Linked DNA regions of Cricetulus griseus. The protein of the gene in region 3 interacts with the protein of the main gene of each other region in a biochemical or structural test. Links are inferred from orthologs where the notes say so. Each region holds a gene or a part of one and is shown on either strand. Other genes may lie near its edges.

Region 1 (4,799 bases), on a different chromosome or scaffold from region 3:
TCATGAAAGCAGTCATCACCCATCCTCTGAAAGCGGCAACCACAACTATAAAAATGAATCATTACTAACAGGAAGGAAAAGGGAGAAAAGAAATTGAGTTCACAGTATGATTTTATCTTTGCTTTAAAAAAAATGCACGTGATACTTTCTGTGCACGTTCATTTACCTGTATATTGGAAAGGAGACTCCTACCTGTGATACTCTTGGCGGTGCTTTTTTCCTTAAGAACTTTTTAATCGATGCTTCACTGTGAAATGGCCAGTGTGCTCTCTGTAGGTAATATGTGCTGTCAACATATGTACATAGGTTGAAATATTACAGATATTTTTGTCCCAGCTTATTATTCTGGCTTCACAATAAGCCACATGAAAGTCATGTACAAGAACACTAAGGATTAAGGAACGTTGTTTCCTTCGGAGATTGCTGGCAAAATTTTAAAATTAAAAAACACCCACCCTCCGTTAAAACAACCTAGTAAATGGGTAGTAATATACTTGACTGTTAGGTTCCTACCGATTTGGATTGGCAGTTTTCAGAGCTGTTGAGTATCTGTAAATGTTTGTGGCTTTAGTTCCCGTTTCGTAGGAAATGGTGCCACCGTATTAGGTAGATGGGCTATGTGTCTCATCTGAAAATATTAAACTCCATCCCCCCCGCCCCGAGACTACAGTGGTAGCAAAAATAAGCCAGAGATGTAATGTGTATTTAAATACCCAGTTGAGCTGGCTGTTGGTTCTTAAATTAGATTCCATGCTCCGGCTAGAATCAACATGGTTTAAATATTAAAAACTTCATAATTCATAAGGCCAACCCCACCTCTTCCTCACGTACAGCGACGGAAGGTAGAAATATCTGTGAAAACTTGTAGCTACTTAAATACCGTAGGGGGAAATATGCCTAGGTTGGTATGCAAGGACTTGAAAAAATGCTTGACATTACGCTTTTAGCCAGGCCATAAGGGATCTGCTAAGGGATAGATAGATCACTGCTGAAAACACAGAAATGAGAGCTGCTTTTACATTTGTTACCGAACCGCCCCTTGTTTTCCTCCAAAGTACATTTTGTATACTTAAAAATACACACTCATTGGACAAGACTGGGAACCTCAGCTCCCCCACCTTCTGTCTTCAGCTTTCGACTTTCAGGTCCTTGCACAACACCTAAGACGTGCGATACTTTTTTTTTTTCCACTCTAATCCTGGCAGAGAACAGTTCGGAGAGATCTCCCTTCGCGTCTCCACCCTGATCCCCCTCTTCCTAGATTCCACCCGCTGTCTCTTTCCCTCCGCCCTGAGCTCCGCGGGCCCAATCTGTCAGAGAAGTTGTGTACAAACTGCGCCCCTGCTCTGCGCGCGAAGCTCATGGCCCGCGAGGGGTGCGGTCGGCCCGTCGGAGGCGGGACCTCGTGGGACTTCCTTTCCATTGGCTAGCCGCTGGCCCTGGGGCCTTGCTATTGGCCACGACGCTGCCAGTCGGGTGAGCTGGTCCTGCCTCCCTGGAGTTGGGTGAAATAGAGGCGGGCGTCAAGTGTCAGTAGTCGCGGGGCAGGTACGCGCGCTTGCAGCTTGCTTGGTGGAGCTCGGAGGTGGCGGGAGAGGGTTCCGGCGAGCGCTGGGGCGGGGCGGGAGAAAGTGGCGGCTGGAGGACCTCGGCGGTGACGCGTGGCCGAGCCCAGGAGTCCCGATCTACGTGCCCGCCTTCGTGAGCCGCTGGCCGCCGGCCTAGGGGTCCCCCCCGCAGCCGCCCCGCGCCGAGTCCGCAGTCCGGCGCCAGCCCGGGCGAGGTGGGAATCGCGATCACCCGGTGATCCACGCCCGTAGACCCCCCGACCGCCCATGGCCACGCGGGTGCTGACCATGGGCGCCCGCCTGGGACCCGTGTCCCAGCCACCGGCCACACAGGACGAGCCGGTGTTCGCGCAGCTCAAGCCGGTGCTGGGCGCTGCGAACCCGGCCCGCGACGCGGCGCTCTTCCCCGGCGACGATCTCAAACACGCGCACCACCACCCGCCTGCGCAGCCCGCGCCGCCGCCGGCCGCCGGCCCGCGGCTGCCCTCGGAGGAGCTGGTCCAGGTAAGCAGAGCGGCCGGCCTCCCTCCCCCGGCTCGGGCGTGTCCCGCCACTGCGAGGCGCGGGCGACAGGGGCCGCTCCAGGCTGGGACGCGCGGGAGCCGGTGCCCGGGTGGGCAGCCCCGCCCTGCGCTTCCAGACGGGGCGCCGGGGAGTGGATGGGGGAGCGGAGGGCCCGGGGCATCGCCCACCCCGATCTGCCCAGAGGAGGCTGAACACAGCCGCGCGCTCACGCGCACCTTGTCTGTTTTCTTGCGTGGGAATGAAAGCTTATATCCACGCTCAACTTAAATTGCGTCACCTTGACCACTCTCTCCGGATGGTCCTGGCCTAGGAAGTCCACCTGCCTGCGTCCTTCGGGGATGTGGAAATTGCAGATGGAGTCCTGGGGTTCCATACCCCTGTAGCTCACCCTAGAATGGGCTGTAAGGCCCCGTTTGGGAAACTAGGGTCAGAAGATCTAAGGTTGTATTAGAACACTGCTTTTTTCCTAAAAAAGGAACACGCGTACAAAAAGGCCACGGGTGTTGTTTTCTTCATGTGCGCGTAAATTTCCTCCCGGAGTCGCGTTGAAAGCTGGCAGTTGGCTTTTACACTTGCCCAGCAGCCGAATTAGAGCAAGCGCCTGTTTCTTTCGCCCACGCACGGGAGTCATATAGCCCAAGAAAAAAAAAAAAAAAACTTCCCGGGACTTTTAGCTACTCCCAAAGAAAAAAAAAATTGGAAACAGACCCACATGCAAACAGCTGGAAGAGCTAAAATCAGAAACCACTAACCGCCGCGGGAGCGCAGTGCACGAAAGGGTTTAGTTTGGTTTATTTCAAGAGGCTTGGTTTAATAGCCTCTTGCCGTATTGTGTATTTGCACCCAGCACCTACTTCGCGGGGTCTGCCAGTGTCGTCGTGCTTTGAGAGGACAGTGGCATTTGTCAGATGTGACTCACATGGCCAGAGCATGAATCTTTATTTTTAAGTCGTGCATATCCGGGAAATCCCGTCCGTCGTCGTCCACAACCAGATCTTAATGATCTGAGGTCCGAGATGAAATTCTTTTGAAATTTAGGAGCAAAAATAGGACTCCTGTTTACCAACTGAGGTGCAGTGGTTTCTTATTCTGTGAACTATTTCATTTAGTTGGGTTTTGTCCTTTTTCTGAGCTGCTCTTCAATGTCAAGAGGAATTGAGAGGAAAAATTAAGCTTTTATATGTTGGGAGAGAATTGCTGGGAAGACAGGCAGGTCGGAAGCTGCATTGTCTATTTCTTAAACAATCAGGGCCTGGGGGATACTTGGTTGTTTCACTTTGGCAGTTTTCTCTCGGGAGATAGCAGTAGGGTGAGGGATGACTGCGCTTTTTACAGAGGAAGGGGGAATGTAGCATTGGCCCACGGAGAGGACATGATAAATGTTTTGCTGATGAGTGTGCTGGCAATCGAGCAGCCTCTCCCCACCCACGGGCGTCCTAGCACCAGTCTACCAAGGGAATGATTTTCTCCTTGATAATTAAAGATCTGTTTTAGATAGGGAAATGAATAGGAACATTTCATTATTACATTAACCAATTACCGAATCTGCTGGTTAAAATCAACATTTACATCAAGCGTTGAACCTGTAATTGTTTTGTTTTAGCGGATACAAGGGTTTGCTTCAAACATTGGATTTTTTTTTTTTTTTTTTTTTGTTAATCAAAAGGCACTGAAATGGCCAGAGAACATTTCATGTTAGGCCTGAGATACCTAACTCTACCCACATAAATATTATTTTTTTAAGGTTTGCAAAGGTTTTAGTTTTCAAATGAAACATGTTAAATGTAATGGGTATGAACAGAAGTGGGGCAGTTTGGGTCATACTCTGATACTGTACTTAGATTGCAGAATTATCTTTCTTGGGGTGAGACTTGATTGCGTTGGAAAGGAAGATGTTTTGTCCTTGCCCCCACCCCCTTGCCTCTTTCACTTTTGTCTGCCGATGATTTGGGGAGTGATTTTACTAAAGACATGCCATACAGACTTTTGGTTAACCAATAATTACACAATTGACAAAATAAAACTCTGTGTTTATAAGCAGCTCTAGGAGCTGGCCCCCGTACCCATACTAGTGTTGTGAGTTTTTAGTTAGTCCTGTTTGTTTATCCTACCTGAGTGAATTGGTAGACTCATTGTGTATTTGTATCTCTTCTTTTTTAGACAAGATGTGAAATGGAGAAGTATCTGACACCTCAGCTTCCTCCAGTTCCAATTGTTTCAGAGCATAAGAAGTATAGACGAGACAGTGCCTCAGTGGTAGACCAGTTCTTCACTGACAGTGAAGGCTTACCTTACAGTATCAACATGAACGTCTTCCTCCCCGACATCACCCACCTGAGAACTGGCCTCTACAAATCCCAGAGACCATGCGTTACACAGATCAAGACAGAGCCTGTTGCCATTTTCAGCCACCAGAGCGAGACGACCGCCCCTCCTCCAGCCCCTACCCAGGCCCTCCCTGAGTTCAACAGTATATTCAGCTCCCATCAGAACACAGCTCCAGAGGTGAACAATATCTTCATCAAACAAGAACTTCCTACGCCAGATCTTCATCTCTCTGTCCCTTCCCAGCAGGGCCACCTGTACCAGCTATTGAATACACCGGATCTAGACATGCCTAGTTCTACAAACCAGACAGCAATAATGGACACCCTTAACATATCCATGTCTGCCGCCATGGCGGGCCTTAACACACACACCTCTGCT
Region 2 (4,981 bases), on a different chromosome or scaffold from region 3:
TTAGGACATGATGAATCTGGAATGTCCATTCTTTTTTGACGGAACCATAAAGAAAACTCTATCGCTGCTACAATAGAACATTTACTGAGCATTTACTGTAGGCCTGATTCATGTCTCCCTTAGCACAGCGAATGTAAACGGTTAGATAGCTGTGGGGGTTTTCGAGACAAGGTTTCTCTGTGGCTTTGGAGGTTGTCCTGGCACTCGCTCTGTAGACCAGGCTGGTCTCAAACTCACAGAGATCCGCCTGGCTCTGCCTCCGTAGTGCTGGGATTAAAGGTGTGCGCCACCACCGCCTGGCTGATACCTGTGGCTTGTCAACTAGGGTCACCGTGGAATCGCATGAAAGAAATACTGTTAAATTCATGGGGATGGGCTTTAACTTTAAAGGACTTGGCGGAAAGTTGCATCCTGTTAAGTTACCATGTGCTGTTGTTACCAGCAGGTAACCATGTCATCTCAGCAGCCAGGGGCATCACCAGCGCGCTGGTCGGGACCCGCGGGAAGGGCGCGCCCAGCTTTGAGCGATAGCTGGCAGTCGCTGAGGGACAGGAGACAGGCTGACCCCGAGGAAGGGCCCCGGGTTTATTGCATACGCTGCAAGTGGAGTCAGGACGGCCTGTCCTTGCCACCGGGCACCGTGCGGTGTGTCCCGCTCGGTCACTGTCCTGGGGGGGGGGGGTCAGCGTGGTTCCTTGTATCATGCTCCCCCTAACACGAGGCAAGTGTCCTTCTGGGGTCCTGGGAAGAGGTCACCGCAGACCTTCGCGTGCTCCGGAAGCGGTTTAGCCGGAATGGGTCGGGCAGGGGTGAGAAAGGGCAGCGGATCCGGCGGGAGGCGGGTGTGAGAGGCTGAGCTCATTCATTCGGAGATGCACGGAAACCCTTGGGGACATCCTCACCTCCCGTGGACCCCCCGAGAGGCCTGATGGCCTGCGGGCGGGGCGATGTGTGCCGGAGAGCAGGAGGGGCGTGGGTAGCTGAATGAATGAATGAATGAATGAATGTATAAATGAATGAATGAGCGAACCAATGAATGGACGGACGGGAGGACCGGGAGGCACCGATGAATCCAAGGGCTCGCTGGCACTGGGGACCTCACGCCACGCGCCGCGGTGACCTTGGGGACACCGGGTCGGGGACTCTGGCCCGGAACTCTGCGTCTCGGGGGCGGGGAGGACGCACGGGCGCGCGGGAGGACGGCGGACGCGGGATCTTCACCCCGGCGGCCCGGGCGCGCCCCCCCGGAGCCCGGCAGGGGACGGCTGCGGCCCGATGGCTGCGCTCGGCCGGGCCCGCACCCCGCCCGCGCGGCCCACGCGGCTCCCCGCGGGCCCCGGACGCCCCGAGCGCTCGCGCCAAGAATCTCCCGCGTCCGCCGGCCCCGCCCCGCGCAGGCCCCGCCCACCGCGTCGCGCCCCGCCCCTCCGGCGCGCAGGCCCTGTGACTTACTCCCGCCCCTTTGCCCGAGACCCCGCCCACCTCCGGCCCGCAGGCCCCGCCCCTCGGGAAGCTCCTGGCCGGCCCGCGCGACGAAGGGGCGGGGCCGGGGGCTGCGGCGGCCGCTGAGGGCTGGCGGGCCGGGGGCGGGGCCTGCGCGGGGAGGGGCGGGGCCGAGGGCGGGGCGGGGGCCGGAGGGCGGGCCCGGGCCGGTGCGCGCGCTGCTGGGATTTTAAATGTCCCGCTCGAAGCCGGGCGCAGGAGCAGCCGGCTCGGCAGCCAGCGCGGTGTAGGGGGCAGGCGCGGATCCCGCCAGCGCCCGGCGCCCGGCCGCCGCCTCCCGCCTCCCGCCTCCTGCTTCCCGCCCGCCCGCCGGCCTCCCGCCTCCCGTGCGCTCGCTCGCTCGCCCGCCCGCCCGCTCGCCCTCCGCAAGCAGGACACAGCCTCGGGTACGACTCCCGCGCGTCCGGACCGGACGGGACCGCACAGCACCGGGCCGGGCCCGGGCGAGCGGGTGGGGGTGGGGTAGGGCCGGGTGGCCCGGTCCCCCGGGGGTCTCCGCTCGCGTCGCCCCTGCCCGGTGGCTCTGAGACGGACGGGTCACGGGGAGCTGTGCACGGGGACCCCGGCAGCCCCGGCTCCGGCGCGATGGTGGATGGGTCGGGGGTCCCCTCGGAGGGCGTCCCGGGCCTCCACCCCCGGCCTCGGGTTCGAACCCGGGGTCGCAGGCTGCCAGGGGCGCCCGCGGGTGACAAGCCGCCCGGCCGATCGCCATCTTCCCGGCCCGGGCCCCGGAGGCTCCGGAGGCTCCGGCCGCCGCCGCCGCTGCCCGCGCGGGAGGGAGGGGAGGGGAGGGGAGGGGTCGCGCTCACCGAGGTGCCCGCTTGGTGTAACCCCCAGGTCTGAGATCGGAGCCCTGCCCGCGCCATGCCACGGGAGAGGAAGGAGAGGTGAGCGGCCTCGCTGCTGCAGGGGGGGAGGAGGGAGGGGTGGTGGGGGAGGGGCGGCGGGGGCGGGGGTGGGGGGGCAGCATCTCCCTGACACCCAGCCTCTGCAGAGATGCCCAGGACCACGGCGGCATCAGGGAAGAAGGTGGCCCTGACTCCTCGGTGCGCTCCAGGAAAAGGAAGGCGAATGTGGCCGTTGTGAGTACAAAGGACACAGGTTGGGAAGGACCCCCCCCCACCGCCGCCCCCCGGTTACCTGGGTACCCGATTTGGGTCTTCCCACCCACCAGCGAAGAGAGTTGGTCGGTGGGGAGGTTTCATTTAGTTTAATGTAACTCAGCCTAACAAACTTTCTATCCCCCCTTTCTCTCCGTCTCTGGGTTGCTCCATGTGTTTGTTCCCTTGGTGGATTGGGATTTTGTTGTTGTTGTTGTTTTTGTTAGTTTTTGCAAGATCCAGATGAAGAAATCGCCAGAGTTGACAAGACTGTGAAAAGCCAGGATAGCAGTCAGGTAGGTCTTTCTCTTGAGTTCCATGCTTTCTTTCTTCCAAGTTTCCCAAACCAGAGCCGCAGGCCACATGGCCGAACCACGGGAGCCTGTCAGTGTGGCCTGGCTTCTCTTGGGCCTGGGGTTGTGGGAAGGGTTTGTGTTTCTTAAGTAGCACCTCTGAGCTTACAGGTACTGAAGCCTGAAGGAACCAGAGGGAGCATCATATAATTTGGTCCTCTGTAAGCCCGGGAGGAAAGAGACTCAGAAGGCAACCCAGAGAGAGCCCTTTGCAAGCCCATAGCAAAGCTGGGCCTATAGCCTTGGTGCCAAAGGCCAGTGACTTGGAGGATAGGATTCCCAACTACTCCCTCATCCTCATGTGTGGTTTTATTGTGTCAAATATGGACTTCTTCCATCCCTTTAGGTCAAATTTCAAACTTTTATCCTCTTGCTAAGAATGATGGTACGATCCTTTAATTCCAGCAATAGGGAAGCAAAGGTGGGAGATCTGAGCTCCAGGATAGCCCAGACCATATATAGTGAGATTCTATTGGAAAAACAAAAATGAAGACTTTTCTCTTTGTGGCCACCATCACTTAACCACTTTGATCTCTGCTGTTTGGGCTTTGCCTGGTCTCAGCAGGGGTCTGAAGTGACGTATGTTTCAACCAGTATTTCACTGGCTGCTCCATTTCTGTCCCTCCCTGCGTAGTGCCTGCCAGATCTTTCGAATGCAGCCTGGTATCATAATATCAGCAGATCCTTGCAGAGAGAGTTTGTATTATCTCTTTGCCTCCAGAAATGGCTGGAGACTATAGTTATGGCTCCAGCGGGGGAAACAGCCTATCTCGAAGGGGCTGGTGAGACCTTCAGCCTTCATCACAGATAAAGTGAGCAAGAACAGTATTCTGTTGACCTCATCTCTTGTCCCAAAGAGGTTAGCAGTGACTTGTAGAGCAGCGAGAGGCAGCCAGTTCTGAATAATGCTTTCTGGGCAATGATGTCCTGGCACCCAGAACTACAGTAATGTGTATTTCTAGAGAGGACCCCTTTAAAAAGTCAGTTTCTCGTCCTGTTAGAAAAAAATCCCCCAAAGAAAGGAATTTATTATAAGGTAACCATGCTTTGGAGGATTCAATTGTTTGCATTGCCAGCCCTGTTTTCAATAGAAATTTCCAAGTGAAAATGAAGCAAGCCATCCATGATGGCTTTGTGGAGATTCAGGCTCACTTCTGCTCTCAGGATAACCATAGCAGTGTTCAGAGTGTCCAAGAAAGGACTGGTTCCTTGTCTGGGCTGTGGAGACCCACAAATGGGGCAGCAGCAAGAATCCAATTGTAACTGTCACATCAGTTCCTATGAGAAGGCCATTTTCAAGGTTGTCCAAGATGAGCTTACAAACTGCTCATGTACTGTATTTTCCTTTTCAGTGAAGACTCATGAACTTTGTGGCGTTTTGTGTTTGTCTGAACAGCACAGAATTTTTCTGTGGAGTTGTGAACCCCAGTGCAACAACTTTGAGCCAGTGAGAGCAGTCATATTAAGTTCAGTGATGCTGAACATCAACAAAGATCTTTGTTTTTGTTTTTTTATTGTTCTGTTTTTTTGAGACAGGGTTTCTCTGTGGCTTTGGAGGCTGTCCTGGAACTAGCTCTTGTAGACCAGGCTGGTCTCAAACTCACAGAGATCCACCTGCCTCTGCCTCCCGAGTGCTGGGATTAAAGGCGTGCGTCACCACCACCCGACCACCTGGCAAGATCTTTGATTCTTCAGCTGTTATTTTTGCTTTTGAAACAGAGTCCCTGTATGTGAACCAGGCTGACCTCAAACTTAGTGAATCCCTGCCTCCAGCCTCCAGAGTGCTAGGATTAGAAGCGTGTACCCTACCACCTGAGTTATTCTAAATGAGAAGAATGCCCTGTTGTAATAAAAATCTATTACTTCCCTTGGTTTTATTGAGACAGGGTTTCTCTTTGTAGCCTTAGATGTCCTAGAAGTCACTCTGTAGATGAGACTGGCCTCGGACCCATGGAGATCCACCTGCCTTTGCCTCCTGAGTTCTGGGATTAAGGTGTACATTACCACTGCCTGGCAAGACATAGC
Region 3 (4,252 bases):
TCCTGTGTCCATACTAACAGTGTCGGGGTTACAGGCCTGTGTGTAGCTCTGCCCAGTTTTTATGTGAGTTTTGGGGATTTGGCCCCAGGTCCTGTATGTCTGAGCCATCTCTGTAGCACTTCACTGTATTTTAAAGAATGTGTTGTAATAACATACATGTGATGTGTACATTTTTCTTATAGGTGCTGAAAGGGCATGATGATCATGTGATCACATGCCTACAGTTTTGTGGTAACCGCATAGTTAGTGGTTCTGATGACAACACTTTAAAAGTTTGGTCAGCAGTCACGGGCAAAGTAAGTTCACTTCTTTCCATACTTCTATGAGTCACCATTTTGTGTGTGCAGTCACAGTAAAGTGGGGTGTTGGATCCTCAGCTGTTTTGATAACAAATATTTGATAACAAATAACAAAATGTCTTTAGAAATGTGGTCCTTCTTCCTGTGGTTATGTCACTTTGGCATGGTGGCAGTGGTGTTTTCTTCATTTAAATAGTTTGTTGTCTTTTTCCTTAGATATTCTAAGATTTCTCAGATGCCCCTCTTCTCTGAGCTTCCGTCTCACCTTTCCCATCATGGCTCCCTAACGTCTTCCAAAATATGACTGAGTGATTTGTAATTTTCCTTGTAGACTGCTTTGTTGCTGAGCTATCTATAATTTAGAAATCAAGTAAATCCTGTTAATCTAAAGTTGTCTCAGACTTGAATGGTAAGGAAATGAAGCAGGGGAGGTTTTAAATACTGGGTTGAAGAGCCAAGCAGTAGCTTTATTTCACATAGCATTCCTTAATGAGTCGCTAGTGAATATTGACTTTATCTGTCCAAAGGAGAATTTTTTTTATGAATTAAGTAATCAATCATTTAAAAGGTAAAAGAAGACAGTATGTTTTAAAAAAAAATGTCTTTCGCTGTGTTGTTCCTTGGACAAGACTCTTATAAATACCCAAAGCAGATGTTAAAATTTTCAGAGCAGCTACACGTTTCCAGGATATAATACTAGTTTTGGACTTATCTCAGAGTCTCAGTGTCTGTCTTTACATGTCTAGAGTAGCATGGCCAGCCCCTAACTACTGCCTTAAGGCAGACGGATGCACTGTGGTATGTGGCCACACCCAACTCTCTTGGCATTCTTGCCTTGGTTCTCCTCCATGGGAGGCACCCTTTTGCAGTTTTAATATTATTTAATCATAGTGGTCAGGCTAGAGCTGTTGAACTTGCTTGTATTACATTATGTTTGCTTTCTGCCATGTCTTATGCTTTGTATCAAATGATTCTTCTTAAATTTCTTTACTTCATTTTATTATTTTGTGTTTGTGTGTGTGTACCACATACATGCCAGGTGCCCTCAGAGACCAGAAGAGGGCATCAGATTCCCTGGCATTGGAGTTATAGGTGGTTGTAAGGCACTAGGTGCTGGGACTCAAACCCCAGGTCCCTGAAAGAGCAGCTGGCGCTCTTAGCCACTGAACCATCATCTCTCCAGTCCTGTCTGTTTCATATCATGTTTGCTATGCATGCATAAGCATATACTGCTACAAAATAAACAATTCGGTAATAATGGTGTCATGTAGCATCGATGTGTAGATGCTTTCCTGGTGATCTAATAAAGTTGAATATGTAAGACTTTATTCCAGATTCTAATGAGATGTTAGTATATTTTTTGACTTGCTTTCATTTCTACCTAAAATTAATCATCTGAAGTGTTTTTTCAGTGTCTAAGAACATTAGTGGGACACACAGGTGGAGTATGGTCATCACAGATGAGAGACAATATCATCATTAGTGGATCCACTGACCGGACTCTCAAAGTATGGAATGCTGAGACTGGAGAGTGTATACATACTTTATATGGGCACACTTCCACTGTACGCTGTATGCATCTCCATGAAAAAAGGTAAAGGAAATCCCATTATGATGGGGACTTTCACGTCTGTTACTTGTGAATTTGAGATTCAAATAGTGCTAATGAGCTCCAAAAGTTGATACTAATGATTACAGTGCAATATTCCTTAGTTAGTAAAATCAGGTTATATTGGCTTAAAATTGGAGGATTGTCTTAAAATTTTCTTTTTCATTCAATGACTGTACAATCATTTTTCTTGACGCTCAGCTCTCTAATCCCCTTTGTTGTTCGTTTGGTGACTCATCATCTTCAAAAAAATCATTTTCTTTCTTGACAGTCATATGTAGGAGCAACAAATTCAGTCACTTCGACATTAGCCTGAATCCTTGAGTGACCCACCCACTTTGCCCCCACTCCATCATGTCCCTAGATCTGAACAAACACTGAGGTCCAGGGCTTTCACTTATTTTCTCATTACCTGTCATCTGAACTATGCAGAGATCTCAGGTCCTGACTTTTGCACAGCTGGCAGAGAGCTCTGGTATTAGGATTGTTTCAGCCACGTCTGGCCTGCTAGTCCATTCTTTCCTGGTGCCTCTGCCTGGTGCTTTGTATCTTACCTGCAGTGTCTTCTGCTACAATCATGTCCTTCTGTTGACACATCTTCATTGCACCTAGCTAAAAAATTGTGTTTTCTACTTCATTTGTCAAAAAATATTCTTTTGGCCTGATATGAGAACATGCTGCTAATCTTTGCACTGGAAAGATAGAGACAGGAGAATCCTTGAAGTCACAGCTTTTTAGAGGAGACCCTTCCTCTAAAAGAATGTATCTTAGAAGAATCATTATAACGAGTTCACAGCAGAGCAGCCATGACCTGTAACTCTGTCCATGCTGCTTTATCTATTAAGAACTGTTTTGGTAAGTAGGCTGTACCCTGCAGGTGTGATATATATACAGGGACTCCTTTTTACTTTCAATTTGAACCACTTTGCACAGTGTGTTGTGTGATTAAAATTTAAGGGATGAGTTTCAAGAGACCTTGCATTTCCATGTTGGTTGCATTCATTTTCCCACACTTAATCATTCCACTCTTCCAAATACAGAGACTGACTTTTATCTCTTGGGAATGTGACATAAAGGTACCTGGTTAGCAATCCAGAGGTAACTGCATGGTTGTATCACTCCTCTTTTTAGAACAGTATAATTTTATAACATTGAGCCAATTTCTGTTACTTCTATAGGAATATCTTTAAAAATCTGTATCAGCACATATCTGAAACCGCATTCCCTGCATGGGAAGTATAAGAAAACAGCCCTAGTTTTCTGAGACCCAAATTAAATGTAAAATTTTTTTTTTGAAAAATAATCATATTGAAAAGTTTACTTTCTCAAATAGGTAATAGGAGTTCATAATTGAAATGTAATGGAAGGACAAAGATATTAAAAACAGTTCTGGATTGTTCTAAGTTTAATACCACCTAATTCTGCATTGAGGGTTGAGCTGCGTGTACCATGCTACCATTTCACTTCTAATCAAGATAAATTGTATGTATGGAGAGCTGCTTGCTTCTTGAATAGGGTGAGGTTGTTTCCTTAAGTCATGGACTTCTAGTCTTCCTCACTTCCCATTCCAGGCAGAGTAACTTGAATTTATATCTGAAGGCATTAGGGTAGTGATTCTTGTTAAAGTGTTTCTGTTCTGTTTATGAAGAGAAAGCGAACACTGTTTTGCAGGCTATGTGCATTTGTGCTCTTCAGAATTCTAATACCTTGTTTTCTGTTTCCTCTCTGCAGAGTTGTTAGCGGTTCTCGAGATGCCACTCTTAGGGTTTGGGATATTGAGACTGGCCAGTGTTTACATGTCTTGATGGGTCATGTAGCAGCGGTCCGCTGTGTACAATATGATGGCAGGAGGGTTGTTAGTGGAGCATATGATTTTATGGTGAAGGTGTGGGACCCAGAGACTGAGACCTGTCTACACACGTTGCAGGGACACACTAATAGAGTCTATTCATTACAGGTAAGAAGCTGTCTCACCCATCCACACCCCTAGATGCTCTGGTGATGACTCATAAGATTTTTCTTTTCAGCTAGTTACCGTCAAGTTGCTGTTTATATATACCTTAAAATTACCATGAAGAAAACAATAAATTTCAAAATCATTTAGCTGATTTAATGGCTTCGATTTCTATGATCCATTTTCTCTTTAAAATGCAAATATTTGTCTTAAAACCTGATACTTCAGGGCTGTAAATTTTGCCACATTAATTAATAGATAATCTCATAGGAGAATAACTTGGATCTTAATAAACTCCTTAGCTGAGGATTAATTTGGCCAAAAGCTGCCCCTTTGCCTTGATAACTAAAAGTTGATGGGCCGTGTAATTGTGATTCTATCCCCATTTAA
Region 4 (5,045 bases), on a different chromosome or scaffold from region 3:
ACCAGTCAGTCCCACCAGGCAGAGCGGTTGTCCGCAGGTCCTACAGCCCCGCCCACGACTCCTGCAGGCGCCGGGCGTGTGACCAAAGCCCGAGTCCCGCCAGAGCACGCTGACGCCGCGTCACCCCACTCGGGGCCCCGCCCCAATTGGCAGCGAACAGGGCAAGTCCTCTGGCACCGAGAGTCGGGGAGGGGGGGGTCTCCCACTGCCTACCCTGCTCTGCAACAGTCCCCAGTACAGGACAACCTCAGGCAGCGCTGGGGAGTCCTAGGCAAGTCCCTTCTCCTCCTGCCTCAGTTGCCTCATCTGTGGAATGGATGGGAACAGACGTTTTCCTTAGTCTGTTGGGAGGATTGAACGAGATAACAAAAGTTTTCGGCTTGTCACAAGCATGTCCCATGACTGCAGGGTGCTGAACCAGCTGACCCAGGTCCTTGTTGGCCAGGCTGAGACCCCACCCCGCCCAGGATCACCACACCACGCTTGTGTTCTAAGCACCAAAGACCCCAGCAAGGGGTTCTGAGATCTTTGGTGGGAGGTCTCGGGTGTTTGAGACAGAGACCACCAACTTCCTCTGAAGTTCTCCAAGCCTTTACCAGGAAAGCTTCCCCTTGGCTGCTGCCCTTGTAAGCCCACCCTGTGGAGCAGAGGTTTGTGTTGGGCTTTGCTCCGAAGGGAGCTTTCTAGTCGTGGGTACAGGTCTTTCTTTGACTTTACCTTCGGCTCCCCCAGTCTTGCAGCAACGGAATGTGTGTGTGTGTGGAGCTATGTATACATTTTACTCAGTTCTCAGAAGGTGTGATGTTGTGATGATTCCAAACCCCGAGCCCTTTCCCGCAGAGACTCTGGACAATTAGTGACCCTGGCTACACACAAGCAGGTGAGGCATTAACTCAACTGACCGCTGAAGACCCTCACCCTTCTGACTGCGAAGGACTGTTTGAGTTTTCAGGAAACATCAAATTCCTGGGTCTTCTGATGGTGGTGGGAGGGACAAGGCAGAGTGGCCCCAAAGCAAGGGCTCCATGTCGGGGAGAGGTGGTTTATAGTTCCAGCACTCCTGAGCACCTTACTCTGAGTAATTTTCTAAGCAGCCACACTGGGAGAGGGACAAAAATGTGTTCAGGTGGAAACCAGACACACACTCCATCCTTGCCCAAAGACAACTAATTCTGCTGGTTGGGAGGTGAGAGCAGTCGCCCAGTCTGTACCTGGAGTCTCAGCATGGCAGTTCCAGCTGGCCTGGGGTCCTGACCCTGGGGCGGGGGCGGGCTACCCGGTTAATTCTTACGTGTTGCTGCTGTCTCCTCACTTGCAAATAGTGTGGACCAGAAAGGTTTACTTCAGTCCACCCTAGAGGAACCTATCCCCTTCCACCGGCTTTACCTGTCCCTAAGTCACAGGGCCCAGGGTTCACTTTTCAGTACTCAGGCTGCTGGCCTGGCCTGGGTCTAGGTCATGATCTAGGCAGCTGAGCTCAGTTCCCCTGGGCTCCTTTTACAGAGTCGCTGCTTGACCTTGGGATCCACACTTTTTCTAGGTCTTCCAGGAGACCAGAATCTTCCTTTAGGAGCTGTTCAGGCCCACTGGCCCTCTCTGCCCCAACAGCGGGATTGATAATGGATTAAGACAGGCTACGGGAAACCGGGCTCCAGTCGGCTTTCTGAACCGTCTAGGTGAGCTGTCTGGAGCCTGCAGATGCCGGTTGGTGGGCAGGGCCTGGCGGGCAGCCCCGCCCCTCCGCTTGGGTGGCTCCGCCTGCGGAACCTAGTTTCCGAGGAACTTTTCGGTAAGGCGGGCCTCCTGCGAAGCCTGGCGGGCGCCGCCGCCATGGACGAGCTGCCTTTCGGTGAGGCGGCTGTGGAACAGGCGCTGGACGAGCTGGGCGAACTGGACGCCGCACTGCTGACCGACATCCAAGGTGCGTGGCCCGGGGCTCCTGCGCGGCCTGTGCGGGGTCGCATGTCCTGGGAGGTCACTTGGCCGGGAGCTTCTGCGCGTGCGTGCGTACTGCGCAGTTGTGCGCCTCGGATTGAGGGTTAGCTCTCCAGCTTGTGGTGGGCTTGGTTTCTGGACTCGCTGAGCATCCGCTGAATTCCAGGTTGGGCCCTGTGGACAGTTCACGGGCCGACCTGGGTTTTCTCGTTTCTTGGATGCACCAAAATCCCCAAGCAAGCCCACAAACGGATTTTTACATGCACCTGGGCATGCAAGTATCTGGCTACTTTGGATCGAGATCAGGGAGGTCTCTTAGGTGTGTTAGTGCTGGGGGGTGCCCCGGCATCAGCAAGCAAAGATACTTTCTAGCGGAGGACAAGGTAAGAGGCAAAGGCCACTGGGGCGCTACCTAAGTTTGAGGAGTTGGGAGTGGGGGGCGTGAGACAAGGAACACAGCTTCTGCTCTCCGAAATATTTTTCAAATTTTGCTATTCTGGGGCAGTAACCCAGGATCTAGAACATATTAACAGGCTTTCTGCCCTGAGCCACACCCTGGGCCACTTAGATCTTTTAAAACATCGCTTGAACTTGCCCAGCTTGATTCATCTCCATCTTCAACCACCACCACCAGCTGGGGTGGGTGTGGGGGAAGAAAACAAAAACAAACTGGCATTTGGTGGCGCTCGCCTTTAATCCCAGCACTCAGGAGGCAGAGGCAGGTGGATCTCTGTGAGTTCGAGGCTAGCCTGGTCTCCAGAGAAAGTGCCAGGATAGGCTCCAAAGCTACACAGAGAAACCCTGTCTCGAACCCCCCTCCAAAAAAAAAAAAAAAAAAAAACCAAACAAACCAAACAAACAAACAACAAAAAAAACCCCAAACTTTCCATACCATAAGATGTATACATGTTAGGCGGGCCATTCAATAACCTCTGGTGGCTTGTCAGCAGTCTCGAAACATTGAATCTCTCTTGCCTGTTTGAGGGCTTCACACTCTTCTCCACCCCAGACAACCACGAATGTGTGTTATCTATAAACTACAATGGTGCCCTGGGATTACTGTAGAGTGTTCTCTCCCTTACCCCCATCCCATGATCTGTTGATAGACACCTAGCGTGTGCTGTGCCTAGATCCTCATTGAGCTCCAGAGGCAAGCCTCTGGGAGAATCACTCAGAGACCCACGTGTGCTTGTCGCTGGGGCTAGAGAGGGGTGACTTGGGGGTAGAGGTTGGGTCACCTAAGAGGAATGAGGGTTGAAAAACATCTGGGCAGGCCTGAGTTCCAGATATGGCTAGGGCAGTGGGAGAAGGGACAGGAGAAGGAGAGTGACGTTGTTTAGAAAGCCCCTCTTCAGCACTGGGGTAGGCCATCATAACATGGGTGGCAAACCCTTCTTGAGCACTTGGTGTGTGGCAGGCACTATGATGAGGATCTCAGTGGGTCTTCTGACAATCCCAGTTGGAAAACATTTTCATCTCACAGATGAGAGACTGAAAAGCAGGCTAAATGACTTGTCCAAGGTCACACAGCCATAGCAAGGCAGAGCCAGAATTCAGACTCAGGCTGCTGGCTCAAGAGCCTGGATCCTTGGCTCCCAAGGCTGGATTAAGAAGTCAGCCATGCAGCTGTCTCCCTCAGCCCAGAGCAGCATTGGTCATAAGACTGGAAAGTGGCAGGGAGAGCCAGCCAATGCCTGGAGCCCAACAGCCCACTACCACCTGTTGTCCTACAAATGTCCAGTGATGTGGGACTTACAGCCTTCTTTCTTTCTGAGGGTGATGCTGAGCTCAGAGCATCAAGTCCTGCTGCTGGCTGTGACCTCAAAGCAGCTCCTCCTTGTTCCTGGTGTCAGGTCACTAGAGGCTGGGGAGAGGAGCCTGTATGGGGACTACTGGGAGGCTGGTGGCACTGTGCACTGAGGACAGAGGAGGCAAATGGACATAGTTCTGGTCTGAGACTGGCTACTTACTCTTGGAGCCCTGGGGAGCCCAAGGCCTGGGAGAGACAGCTCCTCAATAGCTGGTCTGTCTGTTGGCCCAAGATGTATGCCTAGGTCCAATGCCACTTACTGAGAAGCCCTCCTGAGTTCTGACCCCTTTCTTGTGCTGGCCTTACACTGGATCTGTCTATGTTCTAATATTGTATGACTCTCCTTAGGGAGAGGTGTCTATGTATCTGATAGGGCACTGTGACAGACTAAAGAAAGGATTCCGTCCAAGTCCAGCTTCATGCACCGGTGAGTTTATTGGTGTCTTAGTATTATATTGCATGACCACAGCAACTCTTACAAAGGAAGCATTTCATTGGTTTCAGAGGTTTAGTCCATTGTCATCATGGCAGGAATGCATAGTGGCATATACACAGACATAGTGCTGGAGAAGTAGCTGAAAGTTCTCTATCCAGATCCGAAGGCCAGAAAAGAGACACTGGGCCTGGCTTGAGCTTTTGAAACCCAAAAGCCCACCCCTAGCAACATACCTCTAAGAAGGCCACACCTACTTCAACAAGGTAATACCTCCTAATCCCTCTCAAGTAGTTCTATGCCTTGATGATCAGCTGTTCAAATCTGTGAGCCTGTGGGGGCCATTCCTATTCAAACCTCCACAGTTGGTGTGGGTGAGCAACCACAGGATCCTGCAGACTCCCAGACAGCTGTGTCACTGCCAGGTCTCACTCCAGCAGAGTGACGACCTTTAGAAAGTTGTACCTGGAGCCACCACCACTCCCACCCCTTCAGGTAACCTACCTCTTGTATACTCTGGCCTCCCAAGATTTTGTGCAGCTGGGTGGCACGAGGATGTAGTGGGTAGACTGCCAGGTGAAGGGGCTGGAGAGATGGCTCAGTGGTTAAAAGCGCTGGCTGCTCCTCCAGAGGACCCAGGTTCAATTCCTAGCAACCACATGGAAGTTCACAACTGTCTGTAACTCCTGTTCCAGGGGATCCAACACCCTCACACAGACATACATGCAGGTAAAACGCTGATGTACATCAAATACAAATAGGTAAATTATTAAAAATAAAAAGGGAATCTCAGCTAAGGGTCCTGTAGCCTTCCCCCTAAGAGAGTGTTAACAGTCACATTGCTTGTTTTGTAGACCCAGCTGTCAC

Evidence for each region. The genes of interacting proteins can lie anywhere in the genome.
Region 1: the proteins of Fbxw7 (region 3) and Klf5 form a complex in vitro, tested with the Homo sapiens proteins (2 studies listed by BioGRID, with this or other methods). The link is inferred for Cricetulus griseus from reciprocal best matches to the Homo sapiens genes FBXW7 and KLF5.
Region 2: of the proteins of Fbxw7 (region 3) and Ccne1, one has a biochemical effect on the other in vitro, tested with the Homo sapiens proteins (18 studies listed by BioGRID and IntAct, with this or other methods). The link is inferred for Cricetulus griseus from reciprocal best matches to the Homo sapiens genes FBXW7 and CCNE1.
Region 4: the proteins of Fbxw7 (region 3) and Srebf1 form a complex in vitro, tested with the Homo sapiens proteins (3 studies listed by BioGRID, with this or other methods). The link is inferred for Cricetulus griseus from reciprocal best matches to the Homo sapiens genes FBXW7 and SREBF1.

Annotation. Positions count from the first base shown.
Region 1 is NW_023276807.1:251,130,324-251,135,122, forward strand, and holds the start of Klf5 (Krueppel-like factor 5), read left to right. Parts: upstream 1-1,554; 5' UTR 1,555-1,835; coding exon 1,836-2,072; intron 2,073-3,013; exon of another isoform or gene 3,014-3,164; intron 3,165-4,253; coding exon 4,254-4,799. UniProt on the Homo sapiens protein: Transcription factor that binds to GC box promoter elements. Activates the transcription of these genes.
Region 2 is NC_048602.1:233,867-238,847, forward strand, and holds the start of Ccne1 (G1/S-specific cyclin-E1), read left to right. Parts: upstream 1-1,736; 5' UTR 1,737-1,889; intron 1,890-2,340; 5' UTR 2,341-2,367; coding exon 2,368-2,390; intron 2,391-2,497; coding exon 2,498-2,585; intron 2,586-2,830; coding exon 2,831-2,899; intron 2,900-4,981. UniProt on the Homo sapiens protein: Essential for the control of the cell cycle at the G1/S (start) transition.
Region 3 is NW_023276806.1:69,439,514-69,443,765, reverse strand, and holds part of Fbxw7 (F-box/WD repeat-containing protein 7), read left to right. Parts: intron 1-182; coding exon 183-296; intron 297-1,711; coding exon 1,712-1,893; intron 1,894-3,639; coding exon 3,640-3,865; intron 3,866-4,252. UniProt on the Homo sapiens protein: Substrate recognition component of a SCF (SKP1-CUL1-F-box protein) E3 ubiquitin-protein ligase complex which mediates the ubiquitination and subsequent proteasomal degradation of target proteins.
Region 4 is NC_048600.1:74,353,396-74,358,440, reverse strand, and holds the start of Srebf1 (sterol regulatory element-binding protein 1), read left to right. Parts: upstream 1-1,800; 5' UTR 1,801-1,830; coding exon 1,831-1,921; intron 1,922-5,045.